Xenopus tropicalis: one gene and its partners. The protein of the gene in region 6 interacts with the protein of the main gene of each other region in a pairwise test. Links are inferred from orthologs where the notes say so. Each region holds a gene or a part of one and is shown on either strand. Other genes may lie near its edges.

The links.
Region 1: the proteins of bhlhe40 (region 6) and rhobtb3 interact in binary tests that used the Homo sapiens proteins (3 or more experiments, as listed by UniProt). The two-hybrid records come from large-scale screens. The link is inferred for Xenopus tropicalis from reciprocal best matches to the Homo sapiens genes BHLHE40 and RHOBTB3.
Region 2: the proteins of bhlhe40 (region 6) and smyd1 interact in binary tests that used the Homo sapiens proteins (3 or more experiments, as listed by UniProt). The link is inferred for Xenopus tropicalis from reciprocal best matches to the Homo sapiens genes BHLHE40 and SMYD1.
Region 3: the proteins of bhlhe40 (region 6) and stk19 interact in a two-hybrid assay, tested with the Homo sapiens proteins (2 studies listed by BioGRID). The two-hybrid records come from large-scale screens. The link is inferred for Xenopus tropicalis from reciprocal best matches to the Homo sapiens genes BHLHE40 and WHR1.
Region 4: the proteins of bhlhe40 (region 6) and aamp interact in a two-hybrid assay, tested with the Homo sapiens proteins (2 studies listed by BioGRID and IntAct). The link is inferred for Xenopus tropicalis from reciprocal best matches to the Homo sapiens genes BHLHE40 and AAMP.
Region 5: the proteins of bhlhe40 (region 6) and naa50 interact in binary tests that used the Homo sapiens proteins (3 or more experiments, as listed by UniProt). The two-hybrid records come from large-scale screens. The link is inferred for Xenopus tropicalis from reciprocal best matches to the Homo sapiens genes BHLHE40 and NAA50.

The regions. Positions count from the first base shown.
Region 1 is NC_030677.2:177,111,648-177,115,168, reverse strand, and holds part of rhobtb3 (rho-related BTB domain-containing protein 3), read left to right. Parts: intron 1-30; coding exon 31-143; intron 144-2,486; coding exon 2,487-2,595; intron 2,596-2,870; coding exon 2,871-3,044; intron 3,045-3,521. UniProt on the Homo sapiens protein: Rab9-regulated ATPase required for endosome to Golgi transport. Involved in transport vesicle docking at the Golgi complex, possibly by participating in release M6PRBP1/TIP47 from vesicles to permit their efficient docking and fusion at the Golgi.
Region 2 is NC_030677.2:18,423,586-18,426,988, forward strand, and holds part of smyd1 (histone-lysine N-methyltransferase SMYD1), read right to left. Parts: intron 988-3,403; coding exon 824-987; intron 1-823. UniProt on the Homo sapiens protein: Methylates histone H3 at 'Lys-4' (H3K4me), seems able to perform both mono-, di-, and trimethylation. Acts as a transcriptional repressor. Essential for cardiomyocyte differentiation and cardiac morphogenesis.
Region 3 is NC_030684.2:74,175,828-74,178,636, reverse strand, and holds part of stk19 (serine/threonine-protein kinase 19), read left to right. Parts: intron 1-51; exon of another isoform or gene 52-52; 5' UTR 53-80; coding exon 81-189; intron 190-720; coding exon 721-866; intron 867-1,660; coding exon 1,661-1,896; intron 1,897-2,809. UniProt on the Homo sapiens protein: DNA-binding protein which is required for efficient transcription-coupled nucleotide excision repair (TC-NER). Acts as part of a TC-NER complex which assembles and interacts with RNA polymerase II (RNAPII) when it stalls at DNA lesions.
Region 4 is NC_030685.2:85,167,118-85,169,678, reverse strand, and holds part of aamp (angio-associated migratory cell protein), read right to left. Parts: intron 1,697-2,561; coding exon 1,557-1,696; intron 1,342-1,556; coding exon 1,197-1,341; intron 1,035-1,196; coding exon 951-1,034; intron 745-950; coding exon 629-744; intron 233-628; coding exon 129-232; intron 1-128. UniProt on the Homo sapiens protein: Plays a role in angiogenesis and cell migration. In smooth muscle cell migration, may act through the RhoA pathway.
Region 5 is NC_030678.2:3,211,681-3,214,962, forward strand, and holds part of naa50 (N-alpha-acetyltransferase 50), read right to left. Parts: intron 3,132-3,282; coding exon 2,995-3,131; intron 1-2,994. UniProt on the Homo sapiens protein: N-alpha-acetyltransferase that acetylates the N-terminus of proteins that retain their initiating methionine. Has a broad substrate specificity: able to acetylate the initiator methionine of most peptides, except for those with a proline in second position.
Region 6 is NC_030680.2:130,139,862-130,144,136, reverse strand, and holds the start of bhlhe40 (class E basic helix-loop-helix protein 40), read right to left. Parts: upstream 2,821-4,275; 5' UTR 2,729-2,820; coding exon 2,586-2,728; intron 1,835-2,585; coding exon 1,765-1,834; intron 1,115-1,764; coding exon 1,004-1,114; intron 9-1,003; coding exon 1-8. UniProt on the Homo sapiens protein: Transcriptional repressor involved in the regulation of the circadian rhythm by negatively regulating the activity of the clock genes and clock-controlled genes.

The DNA.
Region 1 (3,521 bases), on a different chromosome or scaffold from region 6:
CCACAGTATTGATTGATCCCTCTGTTACAGGTGCTCATCAGTGGTATTTGCTTAAACAGCAACTTAGAAAAAGGATAGAGGATCCTGAAGATGTTGCACGTATTATTCACACGGTTCGGTGTATCCTGAAAACATCAGGCAAGGTCAGCTATATTCTACTTCAGAATGATTATATTATTGTACAGGAGCACATCTGGGGATGTATTGGGAGATGTAGGGTACATGTCCCATGTATGTTGCTTAAATAGACAACCAGGTAGGGGAGTAGATGTGTCTGAAAATATTTTAGTTATTTGTATATGCCCCCTGTTTAGAGATGAATCCTGGGTCTTGTACAGCATAAAAAATTATGGGTCTGTGGGTAACTTACTGACACAAATGGCGGGGGAATTAGTGCAATTAATAATAGAGGTATAGGACCTTTTATGCAAAATTCATAGAACATAAGGTATGAAGAAAAAAATTATGGAAAGACCTGTTAAAAATAAAGTAAGCATTAATTAAAACCAATAGGATTGTTTTGCCACCAGTATTGATTCATACAGCTTAGTTACCATCTAATACAAGTTACTGTTGTAAAATTAGAATATTTTGATTAAAACTGGAGTCTATGGGAAATGGCCATCCCGTAATTTGGAGATTTGGATAATAGGTTTCTGGACAACCGAACCCATACCTGTATTATACAAATGCATACCATTGGTTTGTAATATAACATTATACAAATGCATACCAGTGGTTTGTAATATAACATGAGAGAGGCTACTAAGAATCTTTACCAGAAACCATGGAATGTAACGGCTAAATAAAAGTGATACATATATTAATATGGCATATATATAAGTAATACAGATCATCATCTAAAATGCTGCTGCCACGTGGAGAAGCTTCTCGGGTTCATATAAACACAGGCCAAGAAACTGCCCCTCTGCCCCTTTCTGCTGTTTTTGTGTCTGCACCCAGAGTCACTGCACTGGCCTGGGTGCAGACACATGGGGGGAATTCACAAAAGTGGGGATAGCCCTTTTATGCAGTAAAAGTGGTGGAAAACACTTTCTCCATATTCACAAACAGAAATCTGCCTAAATTCCGACTCAAACGTCACTTTACAGTTTTTGGTGAAAGAAAGACAGTTTACAGACACTTTTGTGAATTTGTTGTTGAAACAAAATTTATATGATGTTTTAAGGACATTTTTTTCCTGACATTTTTCCCCACCATTTTCAAAATGGAGTAAAACTCAGTGTAACTCTGTCAGACCAATTCTAAACTCATCTGTTTTGTTGTGTTTCACCCAGTCTTCATTTCACACCTCTGGTAGAAAAGTTATAAAAATTATGTAAAAAGTTTTTACCTAACATTTGCATTGTTATGCTAGCTTAATGAATCAGTAACATTTTTATTTAAAGGAAAAGTAAAACCTTCCAGGCAGTGCCCCCTTATTAATCACTTCACTTACACTTGCCCCAACTTTTCTGTGCCCCTATAGCATATCCAGAACTACAGAGCTGCTTGATAGCATTGGCCACCTCCTTTACCTGTGTCCCTTCTGTTCCCAGCAGCCATCTTGGGGATCAGCAAGCAGCACATACACACTGGCACAAGGTTGGACTGGCCCAACAGGGCACTGGATAAAAACCCAATGGACCCTAGTACTGTTGGACCTCTTTTCACTGGGCATGTTGGTGTATGGGCCAGAATTCTGCTGACCAGTAATGAGTAGGGGCTAGAGAAAAAGGTATTTAGTGGAATTACAAAGAAATATAGGAAACATTACAAAGCCCAGCTTGTCCTGAAAAAAATGATGTAAAGTTTTCCCAGGCAAACTAAAATTACCCCTCAGGAAATGCCCCTAAATTGAAATGACAAATGGCTCATGAAATGCAAAATCCTGCTGGTAAAATCCTTATCCCATGTAGATGTGGGGCCGGGTTTGGTGGCACTGACAGATTTACTAAGAGCTAAAGGCAAATTCACAAAAAAAATTGTCAGGAAAATGACAAAATCTGAAAACTGTCTGTTTAAAAGACAAATTCACAAAAGTGGAGATAGAGGTTTGTGAATAAGGTGGAAAATCCAACAAATCTATCTCCATTTTTATTTTGCCTCAATATCACCACTTTTGTGAATTCCCCCCATGGAGCAGAATTAAGCATGAAAATGCATACTCACATGTTTCCATGCCGTTATCCACGCCATGTGTCTGCACTCATGCTAACGCAGTAACTCTGGGTGCTGACACAACTAAGAGTGGATAGGAGCGGAGGGGCAATTTTCTCTTTTTCTTTTAGTAAGGCTGAGAATCTGTTCTGTATGGCAGTAGTTAAATGGGAAGTTTCTGCCTCATTTTCCTCCATTCTGTCACCTCAGTATTAACACATTATCAAATTTATTAGTAATAATTTATTTCTTGCTTTCAACTTTAATTCAGTTTCAGTCCTAATTTACTATTTTATTATTTTGCTCTTCTGATTGCTTTTTGGCAGGGAACAGATTGCTCTCCCTCCCACTGCCCAGAGCCATGGCAGTTCTGCAGAGCACTTGGCATATTCTTTAACACTCCTTTGTTAGCAGATGTCATTTTTCAAGTTCAAGGTAATGTCTAAATGCACATGTGATCACAAAGAGGGTTTTGTTTGGTCAGGTAGTGCAGAAGTTTGAAGCATTTTAATTCAAAATTGTAATTCTTAGCGTAAGATTCCAAGTTTTACCAATATAGGACCAGATTCAGTTCAGTGAGAAAACCTTCTCCAGTTGTTTAAGGTGAAACAATAAAAACCCTGTTCAGATATAATGCAGAGCAACTATATGAAACAGTAAGGTTACATGTAAATATGTCATTAACATTTTGCATTTTTTCCTAATTTCAGATATTACCATACCTGCTCATCGGGCAGTGTTAGTAGCACGCTGTGACGTTATGGCTGCCATGTTTAGTGGTAGCTATGTGGAAGCAAAAAGCTTTTTGATACCAATTTATGGCATATCTAAGGACACTTTTCTGTGTTTTCTTGAATATCTTTATACTGACTGCTGTTGTCCTGGTAAGAACTTAATATATTTGTCCACAGAAGATTAGCATATATTTAATTATATCAAGCCTACTAAGGCTAAGGACCCACGGAGAGGTTGAGTCACCCAAGATAAATCTCTGCTAACACAGGCAACTAACAAGAGGGGTCGCCAGTGGAATGCCCTTCACAATGCAGGAGGAAACCGTACGCGACTTTAGAATACAGAAGCAATGCAATGGCCTTTCCAACGGTGACTCCTATTGCTGCTGGTGGAAAGGCATTTCGGAGTGGTTAGTAGCCTACAATACCAGAGATCTATTGCAGATGACTAAACCACTCTGTGGGTCCTTGGACTAAATGTGTACTAGATACTGTATGTATTTGGCCTCCATAAGACACATGAAGCTACTAGTTGCTGCTACTTGTCACGACTACAAAAATAGACAATGCTAATAATTTACTGATAACTGTCTCTACGTGTGTTTCAGACAAGTAGCTGCTACTAAG
Region 2 (3,403 bases), on a different chromosome or scaffold from region 6:
ACAGAGGCTGCTATGCTCAGGGGAACACAAAAATGCATATCACAGGGCAGAACCTGTTGGGGGTTTGAGGTGGATCAGTGTCCATCAATGACCATGTAGGGCATTTTTTTTTCTGCAGCGGCTCCATTCGATCTGGCCAGCTGACTGGTGGGCTAATAATTGGGTCTCCTGGACAGGTAATCCTGCTAATTTATTAGTTTGGGGCCACATGATTACTGGTGGTAAGGGGACAGTTACTGCTGAGTTGTGCTCAGTATAAGGCAGGGATCCCCAGCCTTTCTTACTCATGAGCCACAGTCACATGTAAAAGGACTTGGGGAGCAATACAAGCACCATAAAAGTTCATGGAGGAGCAAAATAAGGGCTGTGATTGGCTATTAGGGGCCTCTATGCACCCTATCAGCTTACAGGGGCTTTATTTGGTAGGAAATCTTGTTTTTATTCAACCAAAACTTGCCCCCAAGTCAGGAATTCAAAAATAACTCCCTGGTTTGGGGGCACTGAGAGCAACATTCTGGTTGGGGATCACTGGGATAGGGGAACACCTACTGTGTGCTGACATTGGATAGGCTGGTATGGACAAATTAAACTAGTTTGTTTATGCTAATACTGAGCCTGCACAATGACAATATTTCCAGATGGACCATACCCCCAGTGTTGCCCATACCCCTGCCTTTTGTCACCAGTGACAGTTTCCATACTATTGTTACAGTAAATAACAGCCAATACACTATGATTATGTTGCCATGCAGAGTTTCATATACAGTGCTATATGGTATGATTCAGGCCAATATACAATAAACCGGATTAGATACAAACTCACAAGTATCCGTCGACCATTTTCTTGGCATTTTCTGCGGCATCATCAAACATTTGCAGATAAGAGAGCACTTCGGAATAGATGCTCAGGATCCGTAACATGTAGATGTTGGTATCAGCGAAAATGGGCTCCTGTCTCTTCAAGCAGTCCCGGCAGAGCTTCACCACCTGCGCACATTGCAACGTTACCTCAAATTAAACCTCTCTAAAACTGAACTGGTTCTCTTTCCCCCATCCAACGCTCACATTGTTCCCGAGGTATCTATAACGGTTAACAATTCTACCATCACCCCATCTTCCCAGGCCCGGTGCCTTGGGGTTATCCTTGATTCTGCCCTGTCCTTCACTCCTCATATCCAATCACTTATCAAATCATGTCACTTTCACCTAAGAAATATCTCCAAAATCCGATCATTTATCACCCAAGATGCTGCCAAAATTCTTATTCACTCTCTTATAATATCTCGCCTGGACTACTGTAACTCCCTATTAATTGGCCTTCCCCTCCAAAGACTGTCCCCTCTCCAGTCCATAATGAATACTGCTGCCAGGCTCATACACCTCTCCAACCGCTCCTGCTCTGCCATGCCGCTCTGCCAATCCCTGCACTGGCTTCCCCTACCATCCAGGATAAAATTCAAGCTATTGACCCTCACATTTAAAGCAGTCCATAACTCTGCCCCACCCTACATCTCTGAACTCATCTCTAGGTACCATCCAACCCGCTTGTTACGCTCCTCTACTGACCTGCTCCCCAACTCCTCTCTCATTCCCTCCTCACACGCTCGCATTCAAGACTTTGCAAGGGCTGCCCCCCTTCTCTGGAATTCGCTCCCACAAACTGTCAGACTTTCTCCCAATCTCTCTGCCTTCAAGAAATCTCTAAAAACACATTTATTTAGAGAGGCTTACCCTAATCTAGTTTAGCAATAACCTGTGCCACACCTCTCACAACTCTGGTCATGCCCATTCCCACACCTTGTGTCTCAACCCTTTCTCCTTGTAGATTGTAAGCTCTTTTGGGCAGGGCCCTCTTCACCCCTTGTATCGGTTATTGATTGCTTTATATGTTACTCTGTATGTCCAATGTATGTAACCCACTTATTGTACAGCGCTGCGGAATATGTTGGCGCTTTATAAATAAATGTTAATGTAATGTAATGTAATGTACATCACATGGCATCAACAAGAAGTTAAATGGCTGGTTTGAGGCCAACTTTCTCCTTTATATAGTTGCCAGCATTTAAAAATAATATCCTTGATGCTAGGTCTATTGGGTGGTATGAAACATGCCCAAAAGAGTTTGGGTGCACTGTAGCCACCAATGCAGAATAAGGACAGGCATTACTGCTTTCTGCTCATTGGAACAATATATTAATGTAGCATTGGACATCAAAACATTAATGTCCAATACTCTGAGGTATTTTTAGGGACAGGTATTACCTGGAGTCAAAAATCGAGACTGGAAATTAAGGAAAGTTGGCAAGTATTGATTATAATGATCAAAAGAGCCTCTTTTAAAACTATAAATACCTGCCACTCCATTTGTACTCAACCCAGGTTACTAAATGCCCTCCAGTCTAGCAGCCAGTGAAGGGATGGCACTGCTGGTTTTCATAAAAACTCTGCTCTATCTGTGCACTTTGCTGGAGAAACATGTTTTTTCTCCTAACCTCCTCTCCTGAGCTCAGCTTTACCATTACAGGGCTCAATCCTAGCTGCCTGTGTAAACCTGCATTCTCCACTGCATAAACTTTACAGTGCACACATGCTGTTTGCAGATGTAAATGTTTTAGGTAAATGTGATGGTGCTGACAACAGAGGCGATATATGCAATACAAATTGTGTGTTTGGGTTGGGGAGGTAAGACCAGACCAGAAAATGTAGGGTTGCCATACCCTTTAAAGGGATTCTATCGTGATTTTTATGGTGTATAAATTACACTGCTAAAAATTTTATTCTTGAACCAACAAATGTATTTGTAGCTGTAATATTGGTGTGTAGGCGCCATCTCAGTGCATTGTGCCTGAGTCTGAGCTTTCAGCCAGCGCTACACATTAGAACTGCTTTCAGCTAACCTATTGTTTCTCCTACTCCCATGTAACTGGAGGAGTCCCAAGCCGGACTTGGATTTCTTACTATTGAGTGCTATTCTGATACCTACTCGGAGCTGCTATCTTGCTCCCTTCCCATTGTTCTGCTGATCGGCTGCTGGGGGTGAGGGGGGGATATCACTCCAACTTGCAGCACAGCAGTAAAGTGTGACTGAGTCTGAGCTTTCAGAAGGAACCAGCGCTACACATTAGAACTGCTTTCAGCTAACCTATTGTTTCTCCTACTCCCATGTAACTGGAGGAGTCCCAAGCTGGACTTGGATTTCTTACTATTGAGTGCTATTCTGATACCTACTCGGAGCTGCTATCTTGCTCCCTTCCCATTGTTCTGCTGATTGGCTGCTGGGGGGGGGGGGAGGGGGGATATCACTCCAACTTGCAGCGCAGCAGTAAAGTGTGACTGTAGTTTATCAGAGCACAGGTCACATGGCTGTGGCACCCTGGGAAATGAAGAATATGGCTAGCCCCAT
Region 3 (2,809 bases), on a different chromosome or scaffold from region 6:
CTTTCTCTTGCTCTCTCACTCACACTGTGTTTTCTTTAAAATATTTTTGCAGGTCAGGCTTCTCACTTCTTTGCCATTTTATGGATCGCAAGAGAAAATTAATTTGTGATGCATTCAAAGTGAAGAAGCTACGAGACAGCTGTTCGAGAGATGGAACAGATCTAAAAGCATCTGCTTCTCCGTATCCGGGTAACGAGGAAATGCATTTTCTATTAGTAATATTGTGTTTTTTTAAAGGAGAAGGAAAGGAAAATAAAGAGTTAATCTCAAGCTGCAGGCATACCTTCAGTTCTCTCAATAGCGCCCTTAAGTCTCCCCATATTTCTCCCATTCAGATGATCAGAAGCCTCATAGGAAAAAAAAACTGCTGACCTCTGTAAAGAAACTTCCCATAATGCCTTGCTCCTGCACCAAGACCAGTGTACATGCCCAGTTTGTTAGACTATGAGGAAGCTTCCTGCTGATTGGTTCAGATCACACATTCCTAAGGGGGGGGGGGAGGGAGCAGGAGAGAGGAAAGAGCTTCGTGTCTCTGGCACAGGAAAACAAACAGACAACAAATCCTGTTTCTTTTGACAGAGAACTCAGTGCAGCTTTTCTGTGAGTGCTTATGGCTGTATTTACACCTACATTACATTAGACCTTCCTGATAAAGCTTACTCAGTTTTTACCTTTCCTTCTCGTTTAATGGTTTTCCATTTTCGTGCGTCTTATTTTCAGACTTCACGGAGGACCCTCATGGAGCCGTCTCATACCTGTGTGCCCTCTTTCCCCGTAAATTATTCAATGATACTTTGCCTCCTCTCTTTCTAAAACATCAGCTATACAGTCTTTTACAAGATCGCACAGCAGTAGACAGATTGTTGGTGAGTGATAAAATAAGTCAAATTTAAATAGGTATTTCATTAAAAAAGATCCCTGACACTTACATTATAGTGTTCAAAGCTGCCTATGTGTTGTGCTGCTAAATGGGTCGTTCACATAGCAAACGTTTAATTTCCATTAAACAGGGCCCACTAGGTTGTTTCCGGTGTCCCATTGGCCCAGTTGACCCTGTTTCTAATATTGAACTTAAAGTTTCATTTTCACCTACCATATCTTCTGGAGTAGCTTTTTTTTTGGGGGGGGGGGGGAGTTATTCTATGTTCTTCATGTTCTAATTGTTACATACATGAGTTGATACATTTCTTATCTTTGGCCCTGTTGAGTAATAATCCTTGAGTTTAATTTAAGGTAGCTGTTAGAATTGATACAGTAGTTACTAATGTTCCACAGATGCTGCAAATTGTAGCAGTTCAGAGGCTGTGCCTGGATTACTGACCAGCCAGACTAAAATACCAGGTGTATTACATAATATATATATACATAACATATAATATATATATTGCAAAATCCATTTCTCTGATTTGACATTTTTCTGTATCTGTCAGCAGGGAAGTATATTGTACATAGATGTTTGTTGATTCAATAGGATGCACAAAAAATATTTTAATGACATATGACTTATCATATTGCTGTATTTTTCTGGATCTGCCACCTCAGTAGTCCTCTTCTTGCTTCGTTTCTCTTGCATTTTTGTTTTTTTACCAGTCTTAATCTGTATTGGAATCTGATTTTTGTCTATACTCCCTTCTATATAATCACATTCCTTTTCTTTCAGAGTTCCCTCCAGCAAAAAGGGGAGGTGTGTTTAGTTCAGACTGGATTTGATCCTGACACATTCATGGTTGTAATGACTGATGACTTACGTAGGACCGCCCTCAGCAGCAGTGAAGGGGGCTCACGGGCTACTGTTGTCCGCAAATTCCTGGACTGTGATCTTTTGTTATCACCCAAAATTAGCTACGGCAGAGATGAAGTGATGATGAAACACCGCTTTAGTGATGGAGAAATAACGTAAGCAAATGGGGTTGCAGTGGACAGGGTACTGTAAAATAATTGAGGAGGAAAGTGGGATACCAGAAGAAAATAAATATGCAAGTCTATAAAACTAGAAAATCATTAAAAGTTTGTCGCAGGTAGATGTTTATTTGCATCCAAATGGAAAAAAGAAGCCCCACTTGAAATTTAGTGGAACTTTACAATGGTATGCAAGACATAGGTTAGAATACAAAATGTGAACTTATTTCTCTGAGCACTTTTGCATTTCATTTATTTTAGGTATTAAGACTGTCAATACCAGGCTTTTAGCTCAGTAGTCAGTGACCCTAGAGTTAAATGACTGGGCAGTAGGTAGCATATAGTTAGTTAGGGTTGCTGACACTAAAAACAGAAAAGGAATGTAAATTGCAAAAGTGCTCAGAGGAGTAAGTTTACATTACATTCATTTTCTATTTGTGGTTAGATCTCCTCTCTTACACCATGGCAAAATCTTTATATGGGAAATCCTAGCTAAGCTTTTTTATTTTGTATTACTGGGTCAACCTAGAGCTGGGCACAAACTCAATCTTCGCATTTGTCATTTTATTTCTGTATTACCAAGCTAAATTTAAAGATGGTTTGGTAACTGCTGATTGGCTGCTATGGGCAACTGCCCTGGTATTAACTGCCATACTGCTATCAAGCACCTGTTTGTAAATCAGCTCTTTAACTTTAACAGTATTGTAAATATGTATTTCCTGTGCTCAAATTTTTCTCACTTTTACCTCCTCTTACTTTCATTGCTACTCAGCTGTGTGGTAAGACCTCACAGTTATCGCAGGGAAACTTCAATTTTATATGCCCTGATTTTAAGTTTTCCCTCATTTGACACTGTTTTTTGTTGTTGTTGTCCTACCTATATTTATTGCATAATAATTTTTTTTTCCGG
Region 4 (2,561 bases), on a different chromosome or scaffold from region 6:
CTGGCATTTTGTATATTGTTGGCAGTAAAAATTAGCTTTCCCTCTGAACTTAAAGGGGAACTAAACATTCTGCATGGGTTATCAATTCAACTCTTAAAGTTCCTTTGCCCTGTAACCCCACCACCTACACATTGCAGAAGCCTAAAGACTCCACTGAGTTGGACTCCGCCTCCCCATCTTCTCGTCTTGAGGCCTTGGACACGTTGCTTTCCGTCTTGAAAACCCCAACAACCTGTAGAGAAAAATTTGATAGCGGCTGAGAAGCTGCCAACCCGGTCTAGAAGGGCTGAGTCTATGGCTAATATTTGCCCATGTATAGCTTTACACTGAGGCACTGGAATCCTGGTCAGGCATCCAAGAAGCAGAATAAGCAACTGCTCAGAATACAATACTATATTGCATTTTGAACAATGGGCAGATGGACAAACCTAAGCGGCTGTCCCTGCTAATACTACCCCTGAGCCCTCTTTTCTAATGGCTTTACCAATACCACATAAAAAAATTGGCAATTCAGCCCAAAACAATGGAGTTTTAGGCAAGACTGATAATGCAAGTAGAGCCCCCTCAAGCACAAGGGCCCCTAAGCGCTAGAGGGCATAGTGAGAAGCATTGGGGAGGTTCCACTCACCTTGCCAGTTGCTGTGTTCACCAACTTTGTGTCACAGTCCACCGAACCCGTAAGTACGAGGCTGCCATCGTTATTAGAGGCGACACACGTGAGAGGCCCGGCGTGTCCATCTGTGCCTGCAATATAGAAATATTCAGTTTTATACAATAAAATCCACCAGGAAATGGCACATTGCTACTTCTCTTAGTGCCCAACCCTGGATCTATGACATCATAACTCATTGACGACTGCTGATGTCATGATGCAACGCTAACCCAAGACTCCAAAGTTTAAAGGGGCAGCATCAACAGAATGTTAACGCAAGGGACACTATGCTATTTACCTTTGAGGACATGAAGAGCATTTCCTTGTTTCAGGTCCCATATCCGCACACTTCCGTCTTCATAGCCCACCACGGCTTTCCTTCCTACACAAATACCAACACTGTCATTTTCCAGGACTGCTACATAAATGTGGCCTTATGGGTAGAACTCAATGGAGATAAGCAAACAAAATCTCTTCCATTTGGAAAGGAACAACAGATACCTATCTATTGTTCCTCTGCAAATGAATTTATTATGGCTCTTACCATCGGGCAGGAACTGGCCACAGGTAGCCGGGCAGCTGGGGCCCTGGAAAGTCTTACACTCGCCACTGGGTATTTTCCACATCCAGGTGTTTCCATCAGCTGTGCCAGCCAGCAATACGTGGGCACAGGGGTGCCATTCCAGCCACTAGCAGGGAGAAAAGGGCAAGTTATTGCCATAGGCCCAATGAGGGGGCAATAATTTGAAGACTCACTGAAACAGCTGATGTGTAATTCAGGTTAAATGAATGATGAAATCAGCTTTGCTATTGGTGGGAAAGCCAAGTTACACCCCCAGCATATCCAATCCAAATCCCAATGCAGACGCAAGGCAAGATATAAGGACCCATTCCATTTCCTTACCTCTAGATCTCCCACCTCGAAAGACCAGATCTCCTCTGCCCCCTCCACCTTCCACACCTTGATCAGGCCACTCATGTCTCCAGTGGCCACCATAGTGGAGTCGTGGCTAAAAACAGCACAAGTAACAGAATCCTTGTGACCTGAGGAAAATAAAAAGGGAAACTTTGAATGGTGATTTTTACAACCATTTGTTTTTATTGCCTGAACTGCAGTTATATGTCCGCAGGCTGGAGCTATATACCAAAAGGTATCCTAAGATGCACATGTAAAGTAGGCCATGAAGGGGTTAAAGAGAACCACATGTAAAGTGCGTGGTGAAAATATTTCAACTTCCGTGTTCATGTGATGAAAAGTCACGTGATTTATGTATGAATATCACTGCACTGGTCAGGAAAGGGTAACTGAGACACTTACCAACACTGTGGGAAGTCCTATTTAACTCATGCCACTTGCCCTTTATAGATCAATCACTCCTATAGCTCTAAACAGGTGGTTCCCCTTTAAGTTAACTCTTAGTTTGTTATAGAATGTTAGCAATTTTTCAATTGGTCTTCATTTCTTATCTTTTATTGTTTCTGAATTATTTGCCTTTCTCTTCTGCCTCTTTCTGTGATACTACACTTTTTATTACTTATCTTTCTATGCAGGCCCCTCTCCTTTTCATTCCAGTTTCTCATGCAAACCACTGCCTGGTTGCTAGGGTAATTTGGAGCCTAACAACCACATAGATTCTAAAATTCCAAACTGAAGAGTTGCTGAATATAAAGCTAAATAATTTAAAAAAAACACAACATTAGAAAAACTAATTGCAAGTAGTTTCAGAATGTCACTTAATTAATTATTGTCAGTTAATTTAAAGGCAAACAACCCCTTTAAGATACCAAGTATGTTTCCACAGTCCAACCCTGGCTGCTGTGTCATGAAGAAACCCCTGCAGGCAAGCAGATGAGACTGCACAGTTGCCCCTTGGGGGGTGGGAGTTAAATAAAAAAGCAGACAAATGCA
Region 5 (3,282 bases), on a different chromosome or scaffold from region 6:
CCTGGAATGTTACTGGGCCTGAGGGACCTAAAAACAAACATGCTAAGCATTAATAGAACATTTATTGAGGGAAAAAGTTTCTAATTAAAATAATGTCAGAAAAAGGTCTTTTCTGAGACAGATGTAACCTGAAAGGGAAGGTTCCTGATCTGCAACTGCAGCAATTCAGTTCAGGAGAAAGGCTACACAGAGCTACCCCCGTGCCTATACTCACACCAGCCATTGCTACATACTGGGACTAGAACCATCGGATTGTTATCCATATTATATTATTATCCATGTTATTCATACACATATATTGCTTGATGTCCACAGTAACTCTTGAAAAGGGAAAGGAAACCAGCACAATAGTATGGTGACTAAAAGACAAAGGCCCAGATTAAACATGGGTTATGGGAGCGGATATCCAGAATGCTTAGACCTGGGGTTTTTCTGCAATTTGGATCTCCAAGTCTACTGAAAAATCATTTAACCATGAAATGAACCCAATAGGATTGTTCTGCTCCCAATAAGGGGTAATTATATCTTAGTTGGGATCAAGTACAGGTACTGTTTTATTATTACAGAGAAAAGGGAATCATTTAACCATTAAATAAACCCAATAGGGCTGTTCTGCCCCAATAAGGGGTAATTATATCTTAGTTGGGATCAAGTACAGGTACTGTTTTATTATTACAGAGAAAAGGGAATCATTTAACCATGAAATAAACCCAATAGGGCTGTTCTGCCCCAATAAGGGGTAATTATATCTTAGTTGGGATCAAGTACAGGTACTGTTTTATTATTACAGAGAAAAGGGAATCATTTAACCGTTAAATAAACCCAATAGGGCTGTTCTGCCCCAATAAGGGGTAATTATATCTTAGTTGGGATCAAGTACAGGTACTGTTTTATTATTACAGAGAAAAGGGAATAATTTAACCATTAAATAAACCCAATAGGGCTGTTCTGCCCCAATAAGGGGTAATTATATCTTAGTTGGGATCTAGTACAGGTACTGTTTTATTATTACAGAGAAAAAGGAAATCACTTTTTAAAAACTAGAACTATTTGTTTATAATTGAGTCTGAGAGATGGCCTTTCCATAATTTGGAACATTCTGGATAATTTATCCCATACCTGTATATAATTGCAGCCCTAAATACTCAGGAGAAAAGCAAAATAAGGTGGTCTCCCTGGTCTCAAATTTAGTGTGCCTGTGGAATTAAGTCTTTCATTAGGGGATAAAGTGAACATACCAATTTATCTAGAACAGTGCTGACCAACTGATTATATGATTATTTATAGCATGCCTGAGGGCCAGATTAAATTAAAATGATGATGATATACTGAGGAGTCTAAGGCACCTTTAGGCCGACTGGCGGCCATAAAAACCCATTGGGCCCGTGGGCCTCCAGTTGTGCAGGCCTGATCTAGAATATAAGCCAAATCCCCACGCAGTTCAGACCTGCACATTCCACTTTAAGAGAAAAATGTTATATGAGAAGATGTGGAAAGAAGAAGGTGCTAGGGATGCTGTAGCGACCCGGCTGGCCAAGGAGGGGGGATGCCTTCCCAAGCAGATGTGCAGCTATTTATCTGAGAGGTGCTAATACGAGGTTGGACAAGGGACAGGCTCGTGGGGCTTTAGTGACTCTCTGTATTTGGGGCTGCACTGCTGAGGGGTAGAGGGAGCCATGGAAGTAAGTGAAGTACAAATTGGCCTCCTTTGTATGGTTTTCTGTTTCAGTATTCCCAATTCTGCCCGTTTCAAGCTTGCAAAAATGAAAAAATGCTACTTAGTTTCTGGGGGTCTCGGACCCCAGCAAAAAAAAAAAAATTGATTGTCAGATCAATTCCGCTAGCTATTTTTATTACTTACAATGGCCAATTCTATGCTTAAAACTTTTTAAATTATTCTTCATTATTTGTTTTTCACAGTTTATAAATTATTTGCCTTCTTCTGCCCCTTTCCAGCTTTGAAATGGGGGTCACTGACCCCCGGCAGCTAAAAAACTATTGCTCTGTGAGGCTCCAGTTTTGTTATTTTGCCTTTATATTATTTTTCTATTTAGTCCCGCTCCTATTCATGTATCAGTCTTAAGGTGGACATACACGCTAAGATCTGCTTGCTAAGCGGATCTTCTCCCGATATCCCCACCTAAGGGTGGGCGGTTTTTGGCTAATTCAGATTGAGTTAGAATGACGGGCATAGGCACAGTCAGTTCAGGGACCACATCAATGAGCCGATGCGGTCCCCAATCTGACTAGATTTTTAAACCTGCCCTATCCATATCTAGCCAATTTCAGGCCAGATGTCGGTTGGGCAGGCCCGTCGTTAGTGCCCATACACAGACCTTTAAGGTGCCAAGTCGGCAGCTAGAATCGGCCCGTGTATGGCCACCTTTACATTCAAACCACACCCTGGTTGCTAAGGTAATTTAGATCCTAGCAACCAAACAGCTGCTGAATCTACAAGCCGGAGAGCTGCTGAAAAACCCCCTGAAATAATTAAAAAACTACAAATAAAAAATGGAGACCAATTGCAAATTGTCTTAGAATATTACTCTACATCATACTAAAATTTAACTCCAATGTGGACAACCCCTTTACGGCCCAAGTGCATTGCCCATAAAGTAAAGTGGGCAGCCTGCAACAGGAGGCAGTGACATAAAGAGGCCTAAACTTCTACGGATAGTTGAATTTGAGGAAAGAGTTCTGGGAAAGTAACACATAAAATCCCTAGCAAATACTTTTCTTTAAGTTACACACCAGTCCTGCTAAATAAGGGGGCCCCTTGAATATGTGTAGCAATATAGGCAGCACCCAGTCCAATAGGCGGCAGTTTCTGATATAAATGAGCAGCTGAATGGAAGAGCAGCAGCGAGGAACACTGCAAGAAAAAACTATTAATATTCGGGGCTTCCCGGCCAATAGGGTCATTATTTCCATTAATAAACACATGTACAAATGCTCATTGTTACCCCTGCTTGCCACAAACACTGCAGCCCTTACCCAGTTTGGCGAGCTCTCCGACTTCCAGCACATCCTTGTAGAATTTGTCATTGTAGCTCACGGGGAAGATGACTTGGTTCAGCCGCTTCAGTTGCTTTATGTTATGTGGAGTCACATCGCCCAACTCGATCCGGCTACTGGAACAAAGGAAAATATTCTGAACTATGACTAGGGGACGAGGAAAGGCTCTCATACGTATACGTAGGAATCAGAATTAGTGGCCTGTAAACTGGTGGCCACGCTAAGTGTAAAATAGTGATGTAAAGGTAATACTGCCGAAAAGAAACA
Region 6 (4,275 bases):
CCCAAAGTCTATAAAAGGAAACATAAGAATGGTTATCTGAACATACCGACACCGCTTACTACTTAGCATCCAGTCCTGTAACAAACTGTCTCTGGAAAACTCCATGGCGATGCTAAATTAAAGCTCTGTGATAGCGACCCCCCCCCTCCTCTAGCAACTCTGCTGCCCCCAGACTCTTGGGCAAGCAACAATGCCACCACAGCCTTGTTCTGACTCACACACAGACAAGCAATAGAATCTCCCACTACCTACTTACCCAAGCACCCAATATGCCTAGTCACAGCCATAGATTATATAAATGAGCACAAATATGCTAGAAACAAGTATAAATAGTGCAGTACAATTCCAAACCAACTCAGTGGTGCCTTCCTGGCATTGGCTTTGTTTATTGTGTTTTACGCAGTCACCCAAACACCGCCAGCTATTTCTGCTTTGTCCCCAACTCGTGTTATTGTTTACATTAACTCTTACTGTATTGTAATATGGGAAATACTTGTCTAAAGTCTTTAACCCCACCGAGAATGCACAAGGATACACACGTCACTATTATGTTACAAATTAATGGTGTAGAATGAAATAAATATATATCATTATGTGCACATACAGCACCACTGTGTATCTTGTGGTTTATCAGCTGCTTTCTGTGCACACACATATGGCATCACATGTCTGTTTAATATGTTTTAATCAGATAGGCCAGTAGTTGTGTGATTGTCACATTTATTGAGTGCGTGGCACTGTCACATGTATCTGCTGTGAGTCCATCACATGTATCAGTTTCTTGTTCATGGCGGTCATGTGCATTGATATGGAGCTGGTTTCCCGTGCCTACCACGTGTGCTTGCAGCATGGGGTTATTTTATAAGGAAATGTTGCATCGCGGGTAAACAAAAAATCAGGCCGCTTGCACCCCTGTATTTTGCACCTTGCATTGCTTGGGATAAAAGCCCTTTAATATGACAATACTGATCTCCTACACTGCAGGGAGCAATAGGTAACTTACCGTCAGTTTGAGGTGCTCTGGCAACAGGTCTTTCAGCTGAGCGATGCATTCATTGATCCGATCCCGACGCTTCTTCTCAATGAGCCGGTGTGGCAGCTTGTATGTGTCCTGCTGGATGGGAATGGGGGGGGTAAGTGTTACACACATTTAAACTTAGGTGGCCATCTCAGCAGATACGTGTCATATTGGCTATAGCTGGAAGGTTCCTACAGTAATGGGACAGTATGACACAGTGCCCCCTTGTGTCTGTTCCGTGGCCACTTCACCTACATGTGACAGTCCACGTGAGGCAGGACCATCACTCACACACTGTACAGAACAAGCAGGGCTTTGAGAGGGAGACACACACAGCACGGCATGTACAGACACACGCGCAATGTGACATCATGCCAGCATTCACACCCTTATGGGGTTTAAAAAATAAAAATGGCAAATACTTAAATGCTTAAGAGCCAGTAAGGTTCAAGAATATATATTTATTATATAGTAATTAGAATGTATAGAAGAATGTAGAAACAGCTGACATGAGACAGAGACATGATGGGAGTCGGGTGTTTTCTGGCACATTTGGCAGCAGATTGGCAGCAGGTATATGGAGGAATGTATGTACCAGCTGTAGCTGTGTAGGGCAGTACAGATAATGCCAGTATAAATATAGGCTAATAATGTTTAGAGAAGCACAGGAGCTGTAAAGAAAGTAGAGAAACAAGCCAAAATGTGGGTGCTGAGTGTTGGGTGCCAGGGTTAGAATATTGTCTCACCTTGCTCTCCTCGCACCTCTTCAGAGCTTTCCTGTGTTTAAACACCGGATACATATGGGAGAAATCCATCCTGTGACAAGCAAAGGGGAGATCAGGACCCAAGCAATGGACATAGCCCCCCTCCTCAGCATCATTTTGGTCAAGAGAAATATTCCAAAAACACCCCCCCCCCCCCAAAGTCACTAAGGCTGGAGAAAATGGAAAAGTGGCCCTTCTGGGGGGTCCAACACAAATACCATTTCTACCCAACTCTGGAACCAAGACATTAAACCAACCAGTTGCTGAAATATAATTCCAATAACAAACGCTAACTGCTAAATTAAAGGGATGATGGCCCCTGGGAATAGAAGAACTTTGAGCCCCCCCAAATCTGAGGAAAGGGAAATGAAAAAATCAGGGTTGTCCAACCTGCCCCCCCCCCCCCCCCCCAGCTGTTGTGGAATCCCTGGGGCATTTACAGAATATATGTATAACACTTGTTACACATCAGTCCCCAACCCTCTAATTCCTTGGGGCTCATTAAAAATGCCCCCCCCCCCCAACACCAGCCAGGAGTCCCAGCAGAGCTACAGGGCAACAGGTTCCCTGCACAGGGTGCTGATAGGGGGCACAGGGTGCTGGCAGGAGGCACAGGGTGCTGATAGGGGGCACAGGGTGCTGGTAGGGGGCACAGGGTGCTGGTAGGGGGCACAGGGTGCTGATAGGGGGCACAGGGTGCTGGCAGGGGGCACAGGGTGCTGATAGGGGGCACAGGGTGCTGGTAGGGGGCACAGGGTGCTGAGGCAGAGGTGGTACAGCTCCATTGGCAGCCGGGCACTTACCCAGACAGGGAAGGAGGTCTGTCCAGACAGGCGGGCTGGGCACTGGGCATTCTCTCCATGGCACAATCCAGAGTTGTGGGCAGCCTGAGGGTCTGCGCTTTAGCAATAGAGCAGGTGGGTGTGTATATTCCAGTCAGGGGCATGAAGGTCGGGCTGAGAGTGTGCCCAAGGCTGACACTGAGTACCTTTCCCCGCTAGGTAATGCAGCCCTGCTGCGCCTCAGCCTCTGGTTAAATGGGTGGGAGGGGCGCTGCTGGTGGGAGGGGCGCGCTGGCCCCTCCCTGTGACAAGCCTCACGCCTGGAGCCGGCTGAGCCCCGGCCCCCCGTCATATGGGCCTCACGTGTGGCTCAACGCTCCCTCAGCTGGGGCCGGGCGGGAGGGGGAGACTGGCACTGGGGCCGGCCGGGCGGGAGGGGTAGGAGGGAGGGGGAGACTGGCACTGGGGCCGGCCGGCGGGGAGGGAGAGGCCAGTCACACGGGGGACACACGGGTTAGTACTCGCTGGGAGAGTGACAGCAGGCTCGCCTGACTGAGTAAAGTGCGTTTGGCTGCAGCGTCACACTGGAACTGGAAGCTGCGGCTAAATAGTATTAGGGCCCCCTAAACTGGGGCAAATACAAATGCTTCATAATGTCCCTTATATGTCCCAGCCCGCAGCCCCCCTGCTATTGGTGAACTGCAACTCCCCGCACTGCTCCCCAGAAGCTCCTGCCAGAGGTGCTGCAGGCCGGGCACCCCATCATTCATGCAGCCATTTAGGGGCGACTCCCTGTCATACTCTGGTGCTGGGAAACACATATATTAGGTTGGGGACAGGCTACTTAAACACTGATTTAGTGCAGGGTAAGGAAGGGTGTGTGACCAGGGCCCTTCATCTCACTGCCAGCTGGGAGTTGTAGTTCTACTACAGCTGGAGGATTACTCATTCATTTCCCTTCATATGGAGCCCCCTTACGTCTCCAGCCACCAACACTCTGTATTCTTATCACTCCCCTCTGTATCAACTGCAGTACATAGGCCCTTCCTTCTTGCCTTGTATACACACTGGCATTTATAGGTAAGCGCTTGTAATGTGCTTATAGCATGCACTGAGTTCAACTACAGGTTTTAATAATAGTCTCTGGGAAGGGACTGTGGCTGTGGGATAGCAGGTATAGTAGGGAGAGATGGTGCCTATAGTAGCAGTGGGGGATAATAGCCTCTGGGAAGGGACTGTGGCTGTGGGATAGCAGGTATAGTAGGGACGATGGTGCCTATAGTAGCAGTGGGGGGATAATAGCCTCTGGGAAGGGACTGTGGATGTGGGATAGCAGGTATAGTAGGGAGAGATGGTGCCTATAGTAGCAGTGGGGGGATAATAGCCTCTGGGAAGGGACTGGGGCTGTGGGATAGCAGGTATAGTAGGGAGAGATGGTGCCTATAGTAGCAGTGGGGGATAATAGCCTCTGGGAAGGGACTGTGGCTGTGGGATAGCAGGTATAGTAGGGACGATGGTGCCTATAGTAGCAGTGGGGGGATAATAGCCTCTGGGAAGGGACTGTGGATGTGGGATAGCAGGTATAGTAGGGAGAGATGGTGCCTATAGTAGCAGTGGGGGGATAATAGCCTCTGGGAAGGGACTGGGGCTGTGGGATAGCAGGTATAGTAGGGAGAGATGGTGCCTATAGTAGCAGTGGGATAATAGCCTC